Linked DNA regions of Rattus norvegicus. The protein of the gene in region 2 interacts with the protein of the main gene of each other region in a pairwise test. Links are inferred from orthologs where the notes say so. Each region holds a gene or a part of one and is shown on either strand. Other genes may lie near its edges.

Region 1 (3,815 bases), on a different chromosome or scaffold from region 2:
TTTAGAAGAGATGTTAGCATCTCTGTGATAAAATGTGGTTATAGTTACAGCCACCAGGCCTGGCTTGAACATTGTAATTAATGAAGAAAATGACCTCAACTGCTGCTTGCTGGACAGTGAAGCAGTCCTTACTCAGGTAGATACACTTGTAACAGCAATCTTTATGTTCCTATTCTAGTTTCCTAAATGTGTTGAGAAAAACAAGCCAGTATTCTACCCCAAGCCTCCTAAAACCTTTGCTCCTAACTCATCTGTGACTCCGTGGGATACTATGACCTCTGCAAAGGATGCCAATATACAGAGAAATCTTGAGCGTTCTCACTGGCTCACTTCATACACTCATGATTTTACAGGTATGAGTTCACAGCAGTACAAATAATGGAAACAGAAGGGGAACACTCAGCAAATGCTGTCTGCCGCAAGCTTCTGTTTCCTGACGTTCTTCCATGCTCTCAGCAAATCAGTGGGAGAGCTCAGTTTCTTAAGTGGGTGACTGGGAGGTAGGGCTGGCTTACATTTTATTGGTTCTAATTTATACGATAAAGTGGGCAGGTTTTCCTATTTACAGAGTAATTTAATTATCATTTTTCACTTATCTCTACCAAAATAATAAGACAATGTTTCCATTAAGGTCTAGGTCCTATGAGCCCCCTTGAGCTGGATGATTACCGTGAGAAGGAGCTAGCAGAACTAACTGGACAGATAGGATTTGACCCACAGCCTGTAAGTAATTGCAGTCAACTCTCAGTTATTTGGGGGAGATTATCCAGGTATCGTCTCCTTGCTCTTCCCATGTTTTGTGTCTTGTGCATTGGTGGCCACCTAAGCAAAAGGACAACTTAGTGGGTTTTCAAAGATAATTGAATTTACTGGAACTGATTCAGATATCCTTGCCACTATTTGGAAAAAGAAAACTTTTTCACAGTATTATTCGTTAAACATATTTTCTGTCATGCTACTGTTGATAAAATAATTCACAAAAGAATTTGCTTACAACTTAGCTAGTAACTTCATGATTTCTTTTCAATTCTGGATCTCTGCAAACTTGTGTATCTTACCATTACCATTACTTTTGAAAAAATGACTGACTTCTTCCTAATAATCACAATAATTGAGAGTTGGCTGAATTACAATCAAAAGCCAATTAAGTTTTTTGCCTATATCAATGGACAATTGATTATATAAATGGCTTGAAAGAAATTATCAAGCCCTGTAATAAACTATTTAATCTGTTAGACCAATTATATAAAGAATGTGAAATGACCTAATATTCATGTGTTGGTTTACTGAAAGCCTAAATTATATTCTCTATAAATATAAATTTTGAAAACGTAATTTTCAAAGCTATAAATTGTGGAAATATATATAACTATAAGCATACAAAATATGGATAATTTTAAGATCACAACAAGCACTTTAATGTTATATTAGCTTCAGCATTGTTAAGCGGATTCCAAATCAAAAACCTGGATTGGGTCCAGAAACTGCCCTTCATCAGTCACCAAGGACCTTTTGATTGTTTTGATTCTGTACTTGCAATGGGCACTCTCTGTTGGATTAGTTATATGCTTCGACACTGATGTGTGCTCAGTATGCATGCCTAAGTTCAGGAGAGCATGTGTTACTGAAGATAAAAGTCCCTGTGAAGCTTTGTAAAGCATGAGATGCAAGTCCTGAACTAGAGATGTTCAGTTGGTAGTGTGCTACCTTAGCAGGCATGACATCCTGGTTTGATTGCTCAGCACTTCGTAAACCAGGCATGGTGGGGCACAGCTATGATTCCTGCACTTGAAACTTGGAAGTAATTGGTTCAAGAGTTAAAGGTCATCCTTAGCTGCATATCAAGTTCAAAGCCAGCCTGTGATATATCATAAAAAAGGAAGTACTAAAAGCTCTTGCTTACACAGCTGATACTATTACAGTCTGATATCCTATTTTTTTTAATGACAAATTAGTGAAACATGTCAGGAAGCTGGGGTCTTTGCCTCATATTCACCAAAGCTTGATTAGCTAAAGGTTATAACAATTACTGATCAGTATGGAGATTTCTCCAATGAATCACTCAGAAGGATCATTCTCCAGGACGATCCTCCAAAGTCCCTTACTCTTTAAGTCTGTGCTACTGTTGCTATGTTATCACTGCTCATTTTTCCCCAAACATGGGGTGTCATGTAGCCTAGGCTAGCCTCAGACTTTCTGTGTAGCCAAGGATGACTTTGAACTCCCAATCCTGTCTCAATTTCCCTAGTGCTTGGGTTACAGGCTTCTGCCATAAATTGTGCCCAGTTTAATGAAGCACTGCCAACTGAACCCAAGCTTCTGAGTAAATAATATCCTGACGAATAAACTACATCCCTACCCACCCCAAGACACACACTCATAATTATTACCTTCCCTGATGTGGACATATGTATACTTCTTTTTGATGTTTTATTTAGCATATTATAAACATTTTCAAACATGCAGAAATAATTTTCATTTAAGACCTGTCTACTCACCAGCTAGATTCTGCTATCAATGCTTATTCAGTCTTTTGCATAATTACTCCAACCACCCATCAATAATTTTATTATTTTTACACATTTTAAACTATAGAGCTTAGTATATACTTTATCCCTTAAGATTTGACATGCATACCATTTACCAGAGTTAGAATTTTGGCTTTCTGTCCTTCATTCATTGTGAAGTATGCCTTCATTAAAACTGTACAAATTTTAAATGTGCATCTGTCAAAACAAAAGCATACAGCTTTTCATTCAAGCCTCTGCCACAAAATAGAACACATGCCACCTCTTCCTTCTTCCCCTGCAGACATAGCTCCAGCAATGATATCCTGAATGTGCTTCCTATCTTTGGAGTTTCCAAGTTTGACTGAATCCACGCTTTTAAAACATCCCAAAAGCTCAGACAGGGCAGTGGGTATACCTTGGTGGCAGAGCATGTATTCAACATGTGCGAGGCCCTGTGCTCAGTCCCGAAAACTAGTAAACAGACACAGACTCAACATAGTGCTTCTCCAAGCATTTAGCATGGCACCAGCCTTAGCTGCACCCAAAACATTTGTTAAAATGCACGCTCTTTCGTTGGGAAGAGAGCTCACAGTGCAGGAGTTTGTTCCCTCCCAAAATAAGGGATCTCAGACCCCACTGTAGACTTCACAAGTCCTGGTCTTGGAACTAAAGTTAGGAACTCCACTTTCTGCCACCTCTGAGGTGATTGTGATTCAGCTGAGGCCTGTGATGATTTAAATAACTGCATAAGATGGATAGTCAGCACAATCATGGTTTCATAAGGTTTTGTCCAGTGAGTCCCTTTGTATCTTTGAAATTTTGAGAGCTAAGAATTTCCACACTTGAAGAAAAACTTGTCTTTAGCCAAATAAAACCTATATATTTTCCATTTTACCTAAAGCCAGTAAAAGAGAAGTATGTATTTATTTGGGCCCAACTTCATGTCTTCAAATAAGTACAGAAGTATCTTAGTGTGTGCACTTCCCTCACTTCTCCTGTTTACTAAGATAGTGAAAATGAGTATGAGATTAGCCTGCTGGTAGCTACATCGTTATAATATTACATTTATTAATTAGTTTATTTTCCCCCTTTTATTCCACTGGTACAGCAAGAAAAATTCCATCCTTCCTTAAAACCTCCTAGACCTTTGGATGGTAGAATTGCCCGACTTATTCAGAACCAACGACCTCTGGAGGCTACGGTGCAAATACCACCTTCCTGTCCAGACTGTACCCCAAGAGTTTTGTGTGCTTTTCATACATTCATACCCAGTTCTGCAGAAATGATGGCAATGAATGATCACCT
Region 2 (4,315 bases):
CCTCTGTGGAGCTGGTAAGCCCTGTGTCTGTCACCCCTGCAGCCACAAAGATGCGGCCATCATGGACGGTGGCCCCAAAGAGTGAGCGGGCTGTCTTCATGGGTGCTAGCTCCTTCCACTCAAACTTCTTGGGGTCGTAGACACACATCTTGTTCAGACATTTCCTGTGGGGTAGATGGGGTGAGTGAAGACAGAGGCTGGGGTGGGGGACAACTGTCTGCCCCTCAGCCACACAGAACCTCCTCGCCACCAGGCTAAACCTCACCTGTCTTTGCCTTTGCCGCCAATGACATAGACAAGGTCCATGTGTGAAAGCACGGAATGGCCGTAAACCGCATAGGGCAGCGGGTCTGACTCACCCCATTTGAATGACCTGGAGGAACGAGAGAGCCCGGAGTGCAGCTTAAGCTCCTGTGGAGTCTGGCTCTCCGAATTCACACCCACGACACACACCCAGACTGCGTTGGGTACATTCCCCTCCCCTGAGCTCTTGGGCCTTCGAACCAACCCACCTACTCCTCTGCTCAAGGACTATTTTCAGGTCTTCACCCGATGGCCGTGCACCTGTGCAGGCCTCCTGGCTGCTACTGTGGTCCTAGCCCCACCCTATGGCCTCTGCCCCAGACCATCCTGTCCCCCAAGGTGGCCCCAACCCCTGCACACACACTCACAGCCTGTCGTAGCACAGGACTGAGTCCAGGCTGTCTTCGCTGTCCTTGAGCTCCCGGCCGCCGACCACGTAGATGGCATTAAGAGCCTCCCCCAGGCCGAAGAGGCAGCGAGGTGAGGGGAGAGGCGGCATCCCCAGCCACTCAGAGTCCAAGTGGTCAAACTGTGGGCGGGCAGTATCTTTGGGTCAGCCCTTTCCCCCACCCCTTAAAATCTATAGCCTTCCATCCCACCATCTGTGTCTGCCTAACCCAGTGGTTATAAGTACAAGGGGCCCACCTCAGAGAGTTGTCCAGTAGCTGCATGGTATGGATAGACACTTGATACCATTTAACTTCAGAAACTTCTCCCAGACGGCCTGGGAGAGCTGCCCCTCACCTCCTCCAGCTGTGGGGCCTGTGGACTTGACCTTAGCACCCAGCTGCTTATCAGCCCCTGGCTGCCTATACCAGCTCACCTGGCCATCGTGACAGGGTTGTCTGTCTGGGTTACCAACAGTGTTAACTCCCTCCCCTCCCCCTTCACATCTCTGGATTTCACCCAGCTGACAAGGCTCAAAACCACAGGTCAGGCTGTAGATTCTCCTTGCCTCTGAGCTCTCACAGTGGCATCCTCAACCTGGACTGGCTCACCTGCCTCCCAGCCCCTGCTGAGACTCAGTTTCCTGCCCTGGAAAGGAGAAAGCAAGGTGCTCTCTGTGTGATAATCTGTTCCCCACCCGGTCCTGGCACTTCTGCCAAAGCCCTGTTTATTGATTCTTTGCACTTGTCTCTGACCCTCCAACCCCTCCGCTGGGCCTCTTTGGAAACTGGCTGTAACTCTTTCCCCTTCAAGCAACTGGCTGCCAATCAAAGGTCCTAGATCCAATGACAGACCCCCAAGTAGACGCAGGCCCTTCCCAGAACCCAGCACTAGTCCCTCCCTCCCAAGGCAGGCCAGGCACCTGCAGGAAGTAAGCACTCATAGGGTCTTCCTTGTTGTCCTCGTTGTAGAAGAGGCCACCGGCCACGAAGACTTGGTTCTCCTTGGTCACGAGACTGACATGGTTTTTGGGGATCTGGGTGGACAGGGATGCACAGTAGCACTCGTTGGCAGCTGGGTCGTACGCCACAGCGCCCTCCTCGCTGATCATGAAGATGAGATCCTGCAGGAACATGCCGAAGCGCAGAGTATCATTGAGTATCCCGGGCAGCACTCGTTCCTCATCATCCTCAGCCTTGGTGTCTTCTGTGCCCTGGTTGGCCTCCTTGGTCCGAGCTGTCTGCTCACCCTTCTCCTTCTTTTTCTTGCGCAGCGTAGTGAGGCGGCCCTCGTGTGCGTCCTTCACCATCTGTACCTTGCGCAACAGCTCAGGCTGGGAGCGCACAAGTGGGTGGCGCTCCACGCGGCTCTCCAGGAAAGCACGAGGCAGCAGGCGGCAGCGAATGCTCTCGAAGACCGTGGGCAACGCACGCTGGTGCTCGGCCTGCACATCGGCATCGCCGCTGCTGGCCCAGCGCATCACAGCCTCGAACACTGCCTCCTCCTTCTCCACGTTGAGGCCATCGCTGGAGATGATGGCGATCAGCTCATCAGCTGAGAGTCCCAGGAAGTCGTTGTCGCGTGCCACCAGCGGGAAACGTGCGCAGATGAAGTCGCGCGCGGCCACAGCTAGACGCGCACAGTCCAGCAGGAGGCCGAGGCGGAAGACAGCCAGGCAATTAGCCAAGCACAGGCGCTTCTGCAGGAACGACACGCAGATGGTGAAGATGGACGGGATCTGGAATCGATGCGCCGCGGCAAACAGGTCCTGAACGCTTGCCTCGTCCAGCGCGATCTCCGATGTGTACAGGTAGTGCAGCACCTGGGACACTACATCAGGCGACACCTCCTCCAGGCGTAGCTCTCCCGCGCCATCTGGCTCAGCCAGGAAACGCGCACGGAAGTAGGGGCTGCAGGCAGCCAGCACCAGGCGGTGGCACGGGAACTCGCGCTCACCCACACGCACTACGCAGTCCAGGAACTTGCCGTGGTCCAGCATGTCCTTGAGGCCATCCTGCAGGAGCGTCTGCTGGTACAGACGCTGCTCCTCCGCCTGCTCCAAGCCCAGCGTCATGGTGCGGCTCTCTGGAACTCAGCAAGTCTGTTTGTCAAGGGCTGCCCTGCACACCTCTGCTCTCCTGTGGGGCAGTGCACTGACTGTGCAGCTGTCTTCTCTGGGCTATATATAGAGGATGCCTGGACCCTGTAAGAGGAGCCGCCTGGCCTCCTGCAAATGACTCACAGGGGACAGCTGAGCAGAGGCTTTCTCCCTGAGCAGCCTTGAGTCAGAGATAGGGGATCATGGGGCGAGGGTGGGGTGTGTCTGGACCTTTCCACAACTGGAAGGTCTCTTAGCCCAGCACACAGGAAAGCTTTGTCTCTGGATTCCTTAGTCCAGAAATGTGGCTACCCACGAAGGGGACTGTAGCCACCCCTGGTTACAGTATGTTTGGTTTCCTGCTTGGTGAACATGCCTTTGTCCTTGGCAGTCTCTGTTTAGAGACCCAAAATGGGAAGGAGTTTCCTCTGCCCAAGCTCAGTAAGGGTAGGTGTTTCTCTGTTGGGCCTCAGTTTCCTTTCCCATTCAAGGAGGGAGAGGAGCCAGAATCCAAGGGTCTCAGCTCAGCTCTGCTAAGGGCAAGAGACCCTGGGGTAGCTGCAGGGTGGACTCAAAGGTGTCAAGCCTGCTAGAAAATTAATTTCCTAGGATTCTACTATTGGGGTGGGAGTGGGGGTGAGGATAGACCTAAATTTTAATATTCTAATAGCATTCTGAATTTTAGTGTCCAAATGGTGGAACTTCCAAGAGTCTGATTACTGCTCAATAACTCTGTCCCATTGTCCTCAATCTGTGTGAGATTTACCATGTTTCTCCCTGGCCTTGGGGGCCCCGTAGCTGTCGTCTGTGATTTGAGGAGTTGAGAAGTTGAGCCAGGATACCCAATCTCAATCCCCACTTTGCTCTGGACTCCTGTCCATCCCCCAAATTTACACATGGGCTTCAGCCTCCAAGATTAACGAATTCTCCAAGCGCCAAAAGCTGCAGCTGTGGGTTAAATTTAGCCCTGGGACACTGGTAGGAGGTGTAATGGAGCGCTCCCCAACCATGCCTCTGAGTCACTTGTTTATAACCTTGGGCTTGTGGGGGTATAGGAGAAAAGACCTGGGGGGAGGGCTGAGTCACACATCCCTCCTGTGATTCCAGAAACATTACTGCCTGTCCCTCCTGAGTAGTGACGGTCAGGTCACTCAGTCCTAGAGGGGCATGTAGCTGGACAGAGGTATGCTGCCCACCTTTCTGCAACTTCAAGGGCTAGCTTAGGGCGGGCTGGGAGGGTTTCCATGACAGTTCTGGACAGTGGGACATTCCTCGGAAACATTACCAGCAATTCGCTGGGTCCACACGGCTACTACATGTGGTACAAAAATGTCTGTGATCACAACCTCACTTTCCAAGGACCTGAACAGAAGACGGTGACAATAGAATTGGTTCCTAACCGCCTTGACTTAATGTCATATTTTGGGTTTTTGGCAGACTCTACGGTGCTCATTCCCTACCAGGCCTACCAGTAGAATATTTAAAGGTGGTTCATTCATCCACCCAGAGCCTACCGTGGACTGTAGC

Evidence for each region.
Region 1: the proteins of Klhl40 (region 2) and Spmip4 interact in a two-hybrid assay, tested with the Homo sapiens proteins (2 studies listed by BioGRID and IntAct). The two-hybrid records come from large-scale screens. The link is inferred for Rattus norvegicus from reciprocal best matches to the Homo sapiens genes KLHL40 and SPMIP4.

Annotation. Positions count from the first base shown.
Region 1 is NC_086022.1:80,994,826-80,998,640, reverse strand, and holds part of Spmip4 (sperm-associated microtubule inner protein 4), read left to right. Parts: intron 1-178; coding exon 179-353; exon of another isoform or gene 354-631; coding exon 632-723; exon of another isoform or gene 724-2,726; intron 2,727-3,618; coding exon 3,619-3,815. UniProt on the Homo sapiens protein: Microtubule inner protein (MIP) part of the dynein-decorated doublet microtubules (DMTs) in flagellum axoneme. May serve to reinforce and thus stabilize the microtubule structure in the sperm flagella.
Region 2 is NC_086026.1:130,317,328-130,321,642, reverse strand, and holds the start of Klhl40 (kelch-like protein 40), read right to left. Parts: upstream 2,851-4,315; 5' UTR 2,765-2,850; coding exon 1,613-2,764; intron 833-1,612; coding exon 672-832; intron 374-671; coding exon 266-373; intron 165-265; coding exon 1-164. UniProt on the Homo sapiens protein: Substrate-specific adapter of a BCR (BTB-CUL3-RBX1) E3 ubiquitin ligase complex that acts as a key regulator of skeletal muscle development.